Arabidopsis thaliana: one gene and its partner. The protein of the gene in region 1 interacts with the protein of each later gene in a biochemical or structural test. Each region holds a gene or a part of one and is shown in the gene's direction. Other genes may lie near its edges.

The links. The genes of interacting proteins can lie anywhere in the genome.
Region 2: the proteins of XBAT31 (region 1) and BRL2 form a complex in vitro, tested with the Arabidopsis thaliana proteins (one study listed by BioGRID).

The regions. Positions count from the first base shown.
Region 1 is NC_003071.7:12,374,984-12,382,866, forward strand, and holds XBAT31 (uncharacterized protein), read left to right. Parts: upstream 1-3,288; 5' UTR 3,289-3,558; coding exon 3,559-3,738; coding exon of another isoform or gene 3,739-3,826; coding exon 3,827-3,886; intron 3,887-3,963; coding exon 3,964-4,035; intron 4,036-4,108; coding exon 4,109-4,230; intron 4,231-4,311; coding exon 4,312-4,452; intron 4,453-4,542; coding exon 4,543-4,650; intron 4,651-4,725; coding exon 4,726-4,978; intron 4,979-5,056; coding exon 5,057-5,491; 3' UTR 5,492-5,826; downstream 5,827-7,883. UniProt on the Arabidopsis thaliana protein: No E3 ubiquitin-protein ligase activity observed when associated with the E2 enzyme UBC8 in vitro.
Region 2 is NC_003071.7:438,486-447,437, reverse strand, and holds BRL2 (BRI1-like 2), read left to right. Parts: upstream 1-3,113; 5' UTR 3,114-3,201; coding exon 3,202-6,633; 3' UTR 6,634-6,814; downstream 6,815-8,952. UniProt on the Arabidopsis thaliana protein: Receptor with a serine/threonine-protein kinase activity, which may transduce extracellular spatial and temporal signals into downstream cell differentiation responses in provascular and procambial cells.

The DNA.
Region 1 (7,883 bases):
TTACATTATTTCATGCGAATTTTACGTACCAAACATGGAATCTTTTTTTGTTCTTGCTCATACTTCAGTTAATTACGTTAGTAATTCGTAAAAAAGTTTCGTGGACCCCAAAACGAAATAAGATCCTCATGACAAATGCCAATCTGACACAAAACAGTTATGTCGCCATGGTACTATGCATGACACAAAAAGTAATTAACACAATTAAAAAGGATAATCAAGAGAAAAATATATATAAACTATAATTTCTTAATAAAAAGTACAACATTTTTAGATTTAGGATTTATAATTTACTTTCTATGGTTGTAATTTAAAATTTGAGATTTAGAGTTTAAGTATAGAATTTAGTTTTAACGTTAGGGTTTTGAATTTTAAATTGAAATTATGACATATTTTAAATGAATATAATCTAACATTCTTAGTTTTGGTATAAATGTAGACTTTATTTTAGTTGTTTAGGGTCTCATAAAAATGAAAAATGTGATTAGGTGGATACAAAAATGAGACATACTTGTTTTTATCAAAATAAATAAATGAGACATGCTTAAGGACCCCCTACCCATACCACCACAACACGCTTTGAATCATCTTCAATAGATGATAAGAGTCATGTAGTAAACGCTATACGACTATTCAGTAAGAAAATAAATAATTTGGTCAACTATTTCCCATCATAAATATGACATTACTATATGAGTGAGTATATAGATATTTCGTCAAAATGAACGCACCGATCAATGGAAAATAAAAGGCACCCATCAATGAGAACCTTATAATAAAACACACACACACAAATTCCGTATAGACCAGGTTTCAGTATTTTTGTTAGTTTGGAGTGTAATAACTCTTTTTTTTTTCTTGGAGTAAAAATGAGTACAAGTACCTTAGTGAACAAATTTATTGTTTTGTTGGAATTAAACTGTTGATCAATAATTCGACACGACAGTAAATAACTCACTGGGACAACCAAAAAAGTCATATTAATTCATGGAACATATATATGCTGACAAACAAAAACAAATCATGGAACATCTATTTGGTGTTTTCCAAAAGCAAATATCGTCTTTAAGTCAGAAAATGCAAACAATTTTGGCCGCAAAAAAAAGCATGGGTTAGAAAGTTTGAAAGAAATCGAGTTATATCAAACTGGTGAAAATTGGCGACACAATCTGTTTTTTACTGAATATGTTTCTATTAAAACGAGTTCGGTTGTGATGTTTACTCAACTAGTAGAAAAAAAAAAAAAAAAAAAGAAGAAAAACGCCATTCTGGTCAACAAATTTTGGGCCAATATTCCAAATACACGTTACTATATTTTCGATTGAAATGTCGTATTGTAATTAATACAGTATAGTAGTAGAACAATATTAGAGACACGTACGTAGGTTTGGTTAGATGCTTTTGTCTATAACTCTATGCCAAGTAATGATTGGTGATTCGTCAATCGTAATTCTTTTTTTTTATATATAAACCCAAATAATTTGCTTTACAATCTCTGAATTCTATGTTTTGAGATCATCCATATTCCAATCTAACTGTCGTTAAGGCTCTTCTTTCAAAGGAAGACCCTATTTGCAAGTTGGACACAGACGGACAAGTTCTCAACGATTAGGAGAAAATCGTTAGGACTAATCAAAGTTTTAGATAGGTACCACTACCTAAATAAACTATGTACGAGGACGATACATCCAGTACAAGAGAAATATATATGCAACCTCATCATATAAAATCATAGTCACGAGATTTTATGACAGATCTTAGTCGTACATAAATGGCTGACAGATTTGCATGATATATTGCAATGATATATTTTTTTTTAACCCAAAACATTTTACCAGCTTATATCAACAATAGACATATATATAATCTGAAATAAGGAATCTAATAAAATAGCTCTTAATATTGAATTTAAAGAAGAAAAAAAGTGAAACAAAGCATTCGAGATTTGATGTCGAAGTCCACATCGGGAAGCGAAGGTCATCAAACGGCCACTTGGACTCCGATGAGAAAATTTCAAGTGGGCTGCTTGTTGGCTTTTAGTATAATATTGACCACAAATTATTTATATGCTTTTTAGTTATAATATGCAGATATTGTATCTATATAATACTCCATGAATAGTATACATATGAGTGTGTTTCTTTTTGTTAAATATCCAAGGAAGAGTGCATAATCATTTTGGAACCATTTATGTTTAAATAATAAAATTTATGATATATATACTGTATCAAAATAACTATGTGTTATTAGAGAAAATGAAGATATAGTCATTAAGTTAGGTAATTTAATATGTACAATATTTTAAGAATATCATGTCATTTTATAAATTTATATTATTTCAAACCAAACTAAATTGCTTTAGCTTCTGTCGAAACTGCCTACTATTTAAATTTGTTTTTCTAAAAACTTCTTTGATCGAATTAGCTTTCCCGAAGTTCTAGTACAATTCTAAAAATTGTGTACTAGAATCTACAAATAGCATATTAAACTTTAAATTTCCTTTGAACTAGCTTGTACATAAACTACCATTTCTTTTCTTGTTTATTTGTGACTTAAGTGTTAAAATTTTTCTTCACACCATCTAGCAAAACACCTAACATTGTTCCCTTTCCAATAATCGAATCGCCTATCCTACAATCATCGATAATTTAGTATAGGATCTAGAAGACTTACTATGACTAATTTTGACAATGGTGAAATAATCAAACTTTTTTTATTAAACTAATGTGTTGTATTGGATCAGAAAACATGATTTACATAATGTTTGTAACATTGATATCACCCCCTACATGTATATTAAAAGCCTTATCGACTCCAAATTTTTACCGAAAAAATTGAAAAATTGTTCAAAAACACAGTTTTAGGATCTCATTATACAGATCAAATCACACGAATTCATATCATAATAATTTTTTTGGAAGTCCGGTTATTTTACTAATTTGATCCAACATATCTATGATGAATCTTAGTTAAGATGTGGTGATCACTCAAACAGTAAATTTGTAAATTTTGTTCATTAAAATCAGTTTCTTGTGGACAAAACCATCCTATTTTTGGCAAATCAAAGAAAATATAATTAATCTCAAAGAAAAAAGCTACAAGAAAAAAAAAATGGCCTCAAAATAAAAATAGAAAATATCTGACAAGACTGCCCGAAATCACAAGTAACTGTAACAAAACTGACAACGGGCAAAAAAAAAAAAAAAAAAAAAAAAAACTGCCCGTCGGGCAAATCCTCCAATAGAGAGTCGTCTCTCTTTATCTCCGTCTCTCTCTTTTTTTTTTAATCAACTTTATAAAAAAAACAAAAAAAAAATTTAAAAATTAATATCTTCTCAACAAATGACTCTATCAATGTGTACATAAATGTGAATCTTCTTCCCTCTTCTTCTTCTCCATTGTTAAAAGCTCTCACACAACCACCGTTCTCCGTCACGGTGGCGCTTTATTCTCTCATCGGAGCGCCTCACCGGTGGCAGACGGTGTCGTTGTTCCTCTCCTAAAACCTCCATCAATCACCATCTCTTTACACAGAGCTCTAACCAAAATCTTCGAGAGATGGGGCAGAGTATGAGCTGTGGAAGTCGACCGGAGCACGGAATATTCGCCTCTGTACAGTGCGGCGATATCATCACTATCCGTCGTGTGATGGCGACGGAGCCTAGTCTGTTGAATCAAACTACTCCTTATGATCGTCACTCTGTTCTTCATGTCGCTGCTGCTAATGGTCAGATCGAGGTTAGTTTCAGTGATATTCTCCGAGATCTCGCCGGAATCTCGTCGGAATCTGGTATTTTTGTTTCTGATGTATCTACTTTTTTTGCAGATTTTGTCATTGCTTTTGGAACGATTTACGAATCCAGATTTGTTGAATCGTCACAAGCAGGTTTTTGATTTTCGCATTGATCTGTTCTGTGTATAGTTTTCATGAATCTTTTGCTGATGCTTTGATTCGTCTTGTAGACTCCGTTAATGTTGGCTGCGATGTATGGAAGAATCTCTTGTGTGAAGAAGCTAGCTGAAGTTGGAGCTAATGTACGTTTACTTTTTTGTTTTGCAATTGAATCGATTTTGGATTTGGTAATTGAAAATCTTTTGGAATCTGCAGATTTTGATGTTTGATTCTGTGAATCGAAGAACATGTTTGCATTACGCTGCTTATTATGGACATGCTAATTGTGTTCAAGCTATTCTCTCTGCTGCTCAATCAAGTCCTGTTGCTGTCCATTGGTAAGTCTCTTCCTATCTTTGATCAGAGTTTACTTATTCCTGAGAATGAAACTTTTGACACTCAGGGGTTTTCATTTTCAGGGGATATGCGAGATTTGTGAACATAAGAGATGATAAAGGAGCGACTCCGTTGCATTTAGCTGCTCGACAGAGACGACCTGAATGTGTGAATGTTTTGTTGGATAGTGGTTCTCTTGTTTGTGCATCTACTAGTGTATATGGGTAATGGTTTTTCTTGTCATGCATTGAAATCAACAGTTCTTAGATGTTTTGTTCTATTGGAACTGATTCTTTAAGCTTTTGTTGAAACAGTTCTCCAGGAAGCACACCTCTTCATTTAGCAGCTAGAAGTGGATCTATAGATTGTGTCAGAAAGTTGCTTGCTTGGGGTGCTGATCGTCTTCAACGAGACGCTTCTGGGTATATATATAAATTTTGTGGAAAAGTCTTGTTTTGGTTTCAGAACATAACTTGAATCTTGAAATATCTTTTCAGGAGAATACCTTATGTGGTTGCGATGAAGCATAAGCATGGAGCATGTGGAGCCTTACTTAATCCGTCCTCTGCAGAGCCACTTGTTTGGCCATCACCATTAAAGTTCATCAGTGAGCTTAATGACGAGGCGAAACTTCTCTTAGAGCAGGCTTTAATGGAGGCTAACAGGGAGAGAGAGAAAACCATCCTCAAAGGAACAGCTTATTCCTTACCATCACCCTCTTTCTCTGACACGGATGATAACATGTCCGAGGTAATAATACTACACTCTTTACTTTCCCCGTGGCTCGGTAATTTTTGTGATTGTAGTAACATGTAAATGTGTCTATAGGTGAGTGATACGGAACTGTGCTGCATTTGCTTTGAGCAAGTATGTACAATTGAAGTTAAAGACTGTGGTCACCAAATGTGTGCACAATGCACACTTGCACTGTGCTGTCACAACAAACCAAACCCAACGACCTCAACCGTGACTCCACCGGTCTGTCCGTTCTGTAGAAGCACCATTGCATGTTTAGTCGTCGCCCAGAACAACAACAACAACAACGAAAAGAGCAAAAGCCTAGATGATGTTGTTGTTGTTGATCGTGAGGCAGGTGATGTTAGCTCCTCCAAATTCAGAAAACATAGAAGATCAATAAACCTTGGCGAAGAAAGCAGCAGCTTCATGGGACTATCAACTATTGGATCATTCGGTAGGATAACCGGCCGTGGCTCGGGAAGGATCGCAGCCGAAAACGAGCTGATGGACAAACCAATATTGTGAGGGATCGATTCCGTTTTAAGGGACATTTTGGGGCATGGGGGAGCAATAAAAAAGATGAGGGGATGAAATTGTGAGAATGTATAAAATATAGATGAATTTATGTTAGATCTTTTGTTGAAGGGAGGAAGATTGAAATAAGGAAAAAGATGTGGGGAGGTGTGTAATGCAAGGATTTGTTGTTTCTTTGATTAAGTTTGGCCAAAATTGTTTGTTGTTGTTATTATTTGGTTACTTGATATGAAAGGGAAACCCATAATCTTTTTGTCTTTGTCTCACTTTTTTTGGTTATTTTCTCACTTAACTTACCAAGAAAAGGCAAATTAGACTTTTCGCCTACTATTTCATTAAAAATGATAATTTTCGTTTGTCTAATTTTATATTTTCACTATATACAAAAACCTGGAGAATTTAGGTTGGATTTGTGAGAAGGGAACAAATGTGATGTGAACGGCTGCTAATAAGTCGCCAACGACCAACGTGGATTAAGATGGAGAGTCTGAAAAAGAAGAAGAAAAGGTTTTATCTCGGTGGTGTTTAGGGATCATTGACCCTACACGATCCCATCACTTTCTAGCAACTTGTGGTCTCCAAATATGGCTCCTTTGTACTTTAACTAAAATATCTAAAACATTTTTAACTTTGGTCAATTTAGATCAACTAGTAGATACACATGGCCACTTTTTGTTTATTCTTGGACAATTAGTTTTGGTACGTCAAGACAATTAGTATCGAGTCATAGGGAAGACCGATTCGGTGGGTATTTATTTATCTAAATCGATTTTAGAAAAGTAAACCTACTGGTTATGATAACATAAAATTAGACAAACGAAAAGAATGCGTGATTGATTTCTTACTTTTATATGTCTAAAACGTGTTTAAGCCTAAAGAGTAGGTTGAATCGATGTCAAGAAGAAGAAGAAAAATAAAAAAATAAAAATAAATACAAAGTGATAAAAATTAGAGGGATAAATGGATTAGATATCATAAAATTCTACAATATTTGAAAATGGTATTTGAACAACAACTATTAAGATCCATATTCGAGATTTTTGGATATCTGGATATTTTGATATCCAAGTTTTAGATTTCGAATGTCCGTCCAAACATTGAAATATTCTAAAAATTCAAATCATATCCGTGAGAAAATAAATAATTCACATGAAAATTATATAAAATAGATAATGCTAAAATTTTAAATATTTCTATGCAAATTAAATCTACTATAGTATAAAAATGAAAATGAGTTAGTATATGTAGTTTTATATGAAAAATCAAATACTACAGATGCAAAAACTATTAGGTGATTTTTTTTTCCATATATTTAGCTAATCCGATTGCATATTTTATAATCAAAATATCAAAATTTAGAACTAGTAACTCTGATGAATCCAAAAAAAAAATTTAGAATGGGTGTGATGAAATAGTAAATAGGATTTTAAATCTTTGATAGTAATTTCATCGCTAAACACAATTAGGCAATTTATGATGCTTAAACCTGTCCCAGTTTTGGTACTTAGTAATTCCACCTCTAGTCACAATTGTGTAAGTTTGTCATGCTTTGACATTTCAATTCTAACTTTTCGGACCCACTTTTCTGGTGGTATAATTAGTTGTCGGGTTATGAACCCGACCCAAGGGTTGATGAAAGCAGATTTAGATTAGATACCTTAACCCACCAAGAAACTAATTTCGATATATAATATCGACATAATATGATCCAATCAGTTTCTCTAGCCCCCCCCCCCCCCCCCTATCACTTTCGTGCTACATGATAATATCCATTTTATTTTCCGTTTCCCAAGTACTCGTGGTCACATGTCATAGGACTCGCAAGTCACACCGTACATATGTATGAAAGTTCAAACGTGTCATATTGTCTTGAAAGGTTGCCAAATCAACGTCTCTTACTTACACTTACCTGATCTTTGATCTCTAATAATACCATCGAATATACAAACACACTAAACTGACAATACGCGACTTATATTCCCTAACATTCTTCTACTCACAAGTTAAACATACACATATGAACTGATAAAATCATGTCATTTTGAATCATTTCGAAAAACAAATGAGCTAACTATAATAACATAGAACCTAAACTTAAATATAATTATAGTTCTCGATCCAGGTTTACAAGTTTTTGTGTATAATTAAGAAATTTTATCACTGTCTCATATCCTGAAAGTTTCGTAAACTGAAGTTTGTATCTAGATGTAGCTGAATACAAGACAACGGGCGGTTGGGTTATTGGTTGAATCTAAATAAACAGAAAACGTAAGTATTTAGAACTACACGAGCTAAGGTAAAATTTTAAATGCTATAGAAAATGTATGGAGTTTAAGCCTAGAACTTCCAGGTTATTTAAAATAATGACACACTAGTGAGTTTC
Region 2 (8,952 bases), about 12 Mb from region 1:
ATATACCATATCTTTCAATTATTTGTTATAGGTAGACGTGTAAATGCGCTTGTTAACATATATCAATACATGATATCGTTAAGGAGTAATTAGTACTTTTGGTCGTGTGCGTATACAAAATTATCAAAAACATGTGTATACATTCATATATGTAATATTTGTTGACAAACTTCTGTGTGCCATATTTGGCGATAAAGAAATAATGTGTTGCACAACGATCAACAAATCCCTCACACATCTATCTTCAAGATTATTGTCAGAGATATTCGCAACATCATCTCCGAAGGCGTCATATGAAGCATTAACGAGTACTAATGCTCTTTTGGATTCGATAACTTCTATTTTCCAAAATCTCACTATAACTTTGTTTTTATTTTCTTTTTGCCAAAGTTACTCTATTATAACTTTGAGTAGTGTTCTTTGTAATATACCTCAAACTTTGTTTTAAATGATATTTACAAGCTTAGCAACAAACAAAAAGATTGAGTTGCAACACCTATAGAAGCAAAAGCCTAAAACCTCTCTTTCCGCATTCTTTAAAATATATGGTAATTTCCGTTTTTATTATTAAAAATTTTAAAAAAAAATCAACATCTACTATTTCTATTTTGGATTATTTCCCTTTAATAAAGACAAAATCTTGCTCTTAAGATCTCTTAAACTTTATGGTAACCCCAAATGTATTATATCTACTATAAAAACACACAGAAATCCACCTAATGATTCAATTAACGGAAGCAAAGATTTGAAACTATAGTGGTCGGATGGAAGAAAGTATCGATAGAGTCATAGAGATGTGGTCTTTTTTTAATGTATTAAGATCTTAGCTAAATAACTTCTGATTCTCATTAATTGTAAAGTATGTGTACAATGAACTATATATACAAGTATCAATACGCACATGTAAATGTCAACTATACTATATACAATCAACTAACTATATACACATATCTAATAGAATGAATCCTCAAACAACACACTATTAAACCAACTTGAATCGTCAAAGTAATTCACTCGTAAACACATCAAATACTTAGTGATTCCACACTAAAACTCACATGCAAATAGAATTCAAATACTACACACTTTGGACAAAAAAAAATAACTAAAAGTCTAAAACGTTTACCGAATATTTTTCAATGTTGATTCTTTATGGCCATGGGGAGAAGTCAATCTTTGTGGTATACTGTATTTACTCACTACTCATACAAAATTGCAAATTAGTCTGATTTCGATTGGAATTACTTGTTGAGCGGTCAAATAACTTGACGTTCAAGAGAATACAGAACAAAATTCATACAAAACAGATATAAGGATTAGTGGTAGTGAAAAGAAGAATTTACATAAAGAATTATTTAAAAATATTGGGGCCAAAGGAATCATAACCTCTCATGCCACTAAACCACGAGCTAATTGATGTTGTTTCTTTTGTGGGGCTTTTTCTCTATTACTCTCCACTATTCGGTCCTTTATTTATTAAACAGAATCAATAAAATATACTCTATAGTCTTCAACAGTATGATATATTACAAATTTATAACACACAAAATCACACTATAGGTGATAAGATTTGCACTATTAATTGCAATGGAAAAATGTTCTAAGAATAATTATTTCTTACTAGAAACTATTGATCTTAAAGAAATAGTCTCTTGTGCAATTGAATGGTAGCTAGGGTATAACCAATTGAAACATTTTAAAATATGACTTGTGTATATTTTTTTCTTTAATATGTGTATATGATTATTTATCAATGAACATTTCAAAATAGCATTTTCTCGTTGGCTGAAATAATCAAGCTAATATTTTGCTTAAGTCATACAAATCTACTCATAAACTTGGTGGAAGAAGGCAGTGTAATGATGAAAAGGATGGAGTGTGTGACATGGAACATGATATAAAGGCTCATCTATGGCATATTATATGAAACTAAACTAATTAAAATCACATAAAAATGGAAAAAGAAGTGAGCAACATTATGGTTACACCTTAAAGTTTGTTATTGTAATTTGTAAAGTCACTTCTCTGTTCATTCCCCCACGCCTCTGCCTCGACAGTGAACATTGGATCAACCAAATTTTACAAAAGACCATTTCATATGCGATGCATATTATGACTAAATTGGGTCCCAATTATTTTGACCACACACCCCACCATATGAAATATTTGTATATCGGTTTGGAATAATTTCTCCCAAAATTCCTTTCAATATAATTGCCATTCTTTTGTAAAAGGTTTTGTTTTTTTTTTAAATAAAGTATTAATACAATACACAACAAAAACAAAACAAATTATCCCAAAATTCCAAACTTGATGTGATTATAGACTAGAATTTCTATTATGTTCGTTTTTATTAGTGTTGTCACTATATCACTAACTATATTCATATTCAGTTGCTTGTCAATTATTTTTTTTTGCCAGTCTTAGATTTATTATTTATTGCACTGTTACATAGACGATTCTACAACGGACAATTCCTTCCGACTCTTATTAGATCTAGTTGCTTGTCATCTAATATTTAAATTATTTTAAGAAATGTTATACAACTAATATTTAAATCATTTTAAGAAATGTTATACAACAATAGTATATAGCTAAATTTTTAAATGGAAGTTTATATAATACTACACTTTTTCTTCATTGAAATTTGTGAAACATCTCATAGATACAATTCCCATTTAGAAAATTAGCAGTGATCATAATTCTTTCTAAGGTTCAAAATCCCCACATGGAGCTTTAATGAATTAAAATTATGAAACCATTAGAAACAAATAGATATAGGACTAAATGAAACTGAAAACATATTTTTCTAAATATTAGAGTTTTATTCTATAAACTGAACTTAATTTTTTTGATTATCAAACAACATGTATTCTATTAGATTAATAATGTCACTTACACAAATCACTACAAGTCATGATCACAATTCCACAAAATCATAAGATTGATCATAACCATTTAATAAATCAATCATCTATTAGAAAAACATCATATGTAAAAAAAAACGATTCGACAAAGATGTTTTAAAAATAATAAGCATCAACAATTAATAAAACTTAATAAATTACCTAAAAGCAGCTTTTTCTTTTCTTCAAAAAAAGCCCTTTTTCTTCCTCTGCTTTAGCATCGTCTCTTTATCATCTAAATGTTTCAACTTACTTACTTCTCCTTCTCCATTCAAACTCAAAAAACCTCCCTCCAATGACTACTTCACCAATCCGGGTTCGGATCCGGACTCGGATCCAAATCTCCTTCATCTTCCTCCTTACCCATCTCTCACAATCTTCCTCCTCCGACCAATCTTCACTCAAAACCGACTCATTATCACTCCTCTCTTTCAAAACAATGATCCAAGATGATCCAAACAACATTCTCTCAAACTGGTCACCTCGTAAATCCCCTTGTCAATTCTCCGGCGTCACTTGTCTCGGAGGAAGAGTCACCGAGATTAATCTCTCCGGTAGTGGCCTCTCCGGAATCGTCTCCTTCAATGCTTTCACCTCTCTTGATTCTCTCTCTGTTCTCAAACTCTCAGAGAACTTCTTCGTCTTAAACTCAACCTCTCTTCTTCTTCTTCCTTTAACCCTAACTCATCTCGAACTCTCTTCCTCCGGTTTAATCGGAACCCTCCCTGAAAATTTCTTCTCCAAATACTCAAATCTTATTTCCATCACCCTCTCTTACAATAACTTCACCGGAAAGTTACCTAATGATCTTTTCTTAAGCAGCAAGAAACTCCAAACCCTTGATCTTTCTTACAACAACATTACCGGTCCAATCTCCGGTTTAACCATTCCTCTTTCTTCTTGCGTCTCCATGACCTATCTCGATTTCTCCGGTAACAGTATCTCCGGCTATATCTCTGACTCACTCATCAACTGCACCAACCTCAAAAGCTTGAATCTTTCTTACAACAACTTCGATGGGCAGATTCCAAAATCTTTCGGTGAGCTTAAACTCTTACAAAGTTTGGATCTTTCTCATAACCGACTCACCGGTTGGATCCCGCCGGAGATCGGAGATACTTGCCGGTCATTACAAAACCTCCGGCTTTCTTACAACAACTTCACTGGTGTGATCCCTGAGTCGTTGTCCTCATGTTCTTGGCTACAAAGTCTTGACCTTTCAAACAACAACATCTCCGGTCCGTTTCCGAACACTATCCTCCGGAGTTTTGGATCTCTTCAAATCTTACTTCTCAGCAACAACTTAATCTCCGGTGACTTTCCGACTTCAATCTCTGCTTGTAAGAGCTTGAGAATCGCTGACTTCAGCTCGAATCGATTCTCCGGTGTGATTCCACCGGATTTATGTCCCGGAGCAGCTTCATTAGAAGAGCTAAGACTCCCGGATAATCTCGTCACCGGAGAGATTCCACCGGCGATATCTCAATGCTCTGAGCTACGAACGATTGATCTCAGTCTCAATTATCTCAACGGTACAATCCCACCGGAGATCGGAAACCTCCAGAAACTCGAGCAATTCATAGCTTGGTACAACAACATCGCCGGAGAAATCCCACCGGAGATCGGAAAACTACAAAACCTAAAAGATTTGATCCTCAACAACAATCAACTCACCGGAGAAATCCCACCGGAATTTTTCAATTGCAGTAACATCGAATGGGTCTCATTCACAAGCAACAGATTAACCGGAGAAGTGCCTAAAGATTTCGGAATCCTTTCCCGGTTAGCCGTTCTTCAGCTCGGTAACAACAATTTCACCGGAGAAATCCCACCGGAGCTAGGAAAATGCACAACTCTGGTTTGGCTTGATCTTAACACAAACCACTTAACCGGTGAAATCCCTCCCCGGTTAGGTCGTCAACCCGGTTCAAAAGCACTTTCCGGTTTACTCTCAGGAAACACAATGGCTTTTGTTAGAAACGTTGGAAACTCATGTAAAGGTGTTGGAGGTTTGGTTGAGTTCTCAGGGATCAGACCAGAGAGGCTTCTTCAGATTCCATCTCTTAAAAGCTGTGACTTCACAAGAATGTATTCAGGTCCAATTTTGAGTCTATTCACAAGATATCAAACCATTGAGTATCTTGATCTTTCTTATAATCAGCTTAGAGGTAAAATCCCTGATGAGATTGGAGAAATGATTGCTCTTCAAGTTCTTGAGCTTTCTCATAATCAACTCTCCGGCGAGATTCCGTTTACGATTGGTCAGCTCAAGAATCTCGGTGTTTTCGATGCTTCGGATAATCGGTTGCAGGGTCAAATCCCTGAATCTTTCTCGAATTTGTCTTTCTTGGTGCAGATTGATTTGTCGAATAACGAGTTAACTGGTCCGATTCCTCAGAGAGGTCAGTTAAGCACGCTTCCGGCGACTCAGTACGCGAATAATCCGGGGCTTTGCGGTGTTCCTTTACCGGAATGTAAGAATGGAAACAATCAGCTTCCTGCTGGAACAGAGGAAGGGAAACGTGCTAAGCACGGAACTAGGGCAGCTTCTTGGGCGAATAGCATTGTTTTGGGAGTGTTGATTTCCGCTGCTTCGGTTTGTATTTTAATCGTTTGGGCGATTGCGGTTCGTGCGAGGAGGAGAGATGCGGATGATGCGAAGATGCTTCACAGTTTGCAGGCGGTTAATTCCGCCACTACATGGAAGATAGAGAAGGAGAAAGAGCCGTTGAGTATTAATGTAGCGACGTTTCAGCGACAGTTGAGAAAGCTTAAGTTTTCGCAGCTTATCGAGGCGACAAACGGATTCTCAGCCGCGAGTATGATCGGACACGGCGGATTCGGTGAGGTTTTTAAGGCGACGCTTAAAGACGGGTCTTCCGTGGCGATCAAGAAGCTCATTAGACTTAGTTGTCAAGGAGATCGAGAGTTCATGGCAGAAATGGAAACCTTAGGGAAGATCAAACACCGAAACCTCGTACCGCTCTTGGGATACTGTAAAATCGGGGAAGAGAGATTGCTTGTTTACGAGTTTATGCAATACGGAAGCCTCGAGGAGGTGCTTCACGGACCAAGAACAGGCGAAAAACGGAGGATTTTAGGTTGGGAAGAGAGGAAAAAGATTGCAAAAGGAGCAGCAAAAGGACTTTGTTTCTTGCATCACAATTGTATCCCTCACATAATCCACCGCGACATGAAATCGAGCAACGTGCTTCTCGATCAAGACATGGAAGCAAGAGTTTCAGATTTCGGAATGGCGAGACTGATCAGCGCATTAGACACACATTTGAGTGTAAGTACCTTGGCAGGCACGCCAGGTTACGTACCACCAGAGTATTACCAAAGTTTCAGATGTACCGCAAAAGGCGACGTGTACTCAATCGGAGTAGTGATGCTCGAGATCTTAAGCGGGAAAAGACCAACGGATAAAGAAGAGTTTGGTGATACGAATTTAGTAGGTTGGTCGAAGATGAAGGCAAGAGAAGGGAAACACATGGAAGTGATTGATGAAGACCTTCTAAAAGAAGGTTCTTCGGAGTCTCTGAATGAGAAAGAAGGTTTTGAAGGAGGAGTGATTGTGAAAGAAATGTTGAGGTATTTGGAGATAGCGTTACGGTGCGTTGACGATTTCCCATCAAAGAGACCTAATATGTTACAAGTTGTTGCTTCGTTGAGAGAACTTCGTGGAAGTGAAAATAATAGTCACAGTCACAGTAACAGCTTGTAACAACATGAAGATCTCTGTTTTTTTTTGTTTTTCTGGCTTTTTCAATGCATTTTTTTTTCCTGTGAGAATGTGTATGTGTGGTTGATCAATGATTAAAATTTCATGATGTATCAAGACTTAATTAATGTAATTTAAATTCTGATTCCTTTAATAAATAACTATGCAGATTATAACAAATCAGAGTCTTAGTTGGTGAATTGTTCTTTATTACCGAGTGTCGTTAGCTCAATTGGTAAAGACCGTAAACGAAGCTTAGAGAACGCCGATTTGAGTAACGCTTGAAACGAAACTAATATTACACGATGTGGTTTCGTGCATGAAAGGATTACCGACATTGGCCCAGAACTTCCTGGTATTAGAAAAAAAAAAAAAAAAAAATTGTTCTTTATTAAACGCTCGAATACACACGATTAGGCTTTGGATAGAGAACATACAAATGGGCTCAACAACTGAAGTTTCAAAATTATATTTGGGCCATAAAGAACTATTTAGAATATAGAAACATTAGGCCCATAATGACTCTTTCTCCTTCAGGCCTATGAACATCTAACACTATAAGACTATACATTCGTGAGTAGAATATTTTTTTTTGTGAGAATAGTATTTCAAACCACAAAAGAGAATATATTTCAATGTGTTACTTCATTAGTATGTGTGAATTTATACTTGTTGATGTGAATCAAGTAGGTGGTTGTCTAGTAATTTAGAGTTTTCAAATTTCAATAGTTCCATTCTAATTGAAAGAAATGATTAACACATTAACAACGGTATTATCAAACGGTTGTTTTTGGATATGGAGGAGAATATAGGTCAAAAACTGTGGTCACTTTTTCAAAATATAAAAGGAGAATATGGAGGAGAATATAGGTTAAAATATAATCACCTCTAAAATAGAAAAAATTATAGTGGTCACTTTTTCAAAATATTTAGAAGTTGCATGCTTTCGGATATGCAACTTCTAAATATTTTGAAAAAGTGACCACTATAATTTTTTTTATTTTAGAGGTGATTATATTTTAGAGGCATTGTGCACCAATAGTCACGTATAAAATAGAGTTTCCTCAAAAAGTAAACATCTCTATTTAAAAAAAAATATATCTCTATTTTTTTTTATAAGAAAACTTAATTTTAGAGATGATTATTAGAATACAATACCTCTAAAATAGAATCACCTTTAAAAATAAAGAAAAATATAGAAAGACCATTGAAAATACCCTAAGAAAATTAGGTCTCATATCATCATTGTTTGAAAAATGTGCAAATCTATAAGACTATATAAACAGACCTATAACTATACTATTTCGGTAGATTGTATATCGTTTTTTTTTTCGTAGATTGTATATCGTATAGAATGTATAAAAACTGTATAGTATAAGATGTTACGTGAAAGTGGAGAGCAGAGAAATAATAGTATCTTAGTAGTAGAATTCACGTGTGACAAGACATCTCGACGGTGGGATCCCAGTAACTATCTAAGGGGTAAACTTGTAAATTAACAAAACAGAGTAAAGGATTTTGCAGGCGCGGGGTATATTTGTCTCTGCAAACCCACACTGGCAATCAAATAGTTTTTCTCTTTCCTCTGTTACATCAAAAAAATTATGTAAATAATTTTGTCTTACTTTACTTTTTTTACTGTTATATTTTTAATTTTTTATCGTCCTTTTGCTCTACTTTATCTAGAAGAACACTCCCCTCCCTGCAATTTTGATATATAAGTTAAAAAATATTACAGTAAGATATGTGTATCAAATCCTCGCAAGAATATTGATGTTTCTTTTGTTTTTATATGTCACAATTCGAATTTTGTTTCTTTTAGCTAACAATGCCACAATGCATGTTTCCTTTCCTGTGTGATCTGACACTTTCTCACAGCCTTATCTCTTTTCTGTTGAAAACAAATTTTGGTCTTTAACCCAAAAAAAAAAATGTTGGTCTTACTAAACATAATTTGTTTCCAAAATTTGTTTTATAAGGACCAAAATTTGTTTTGTAATTCAGGTCATAAATGATGATATAAACCGCACCTAAAACCGCAATGCAACAATGCTGTAATAATATCAAAATCTATATATAGATATATGTATTTATGTATTTTCGTTATTATTTGAACCGCACCGCATTTTTCCCGCACCGCAAAACGCAGTCACCATTCGGATCCTCGATATATATAAATAAGCCTTATTCTTCTGGAAAATAAATGGTAGTACAGTTGACTTGTCACATCGTATAAAAGGGTTAAGAAATAAATGAAAGCAAACGAATACTACATTTTCATGAGTATCATGGATGATAGATTGATTCATAGATCATATAATG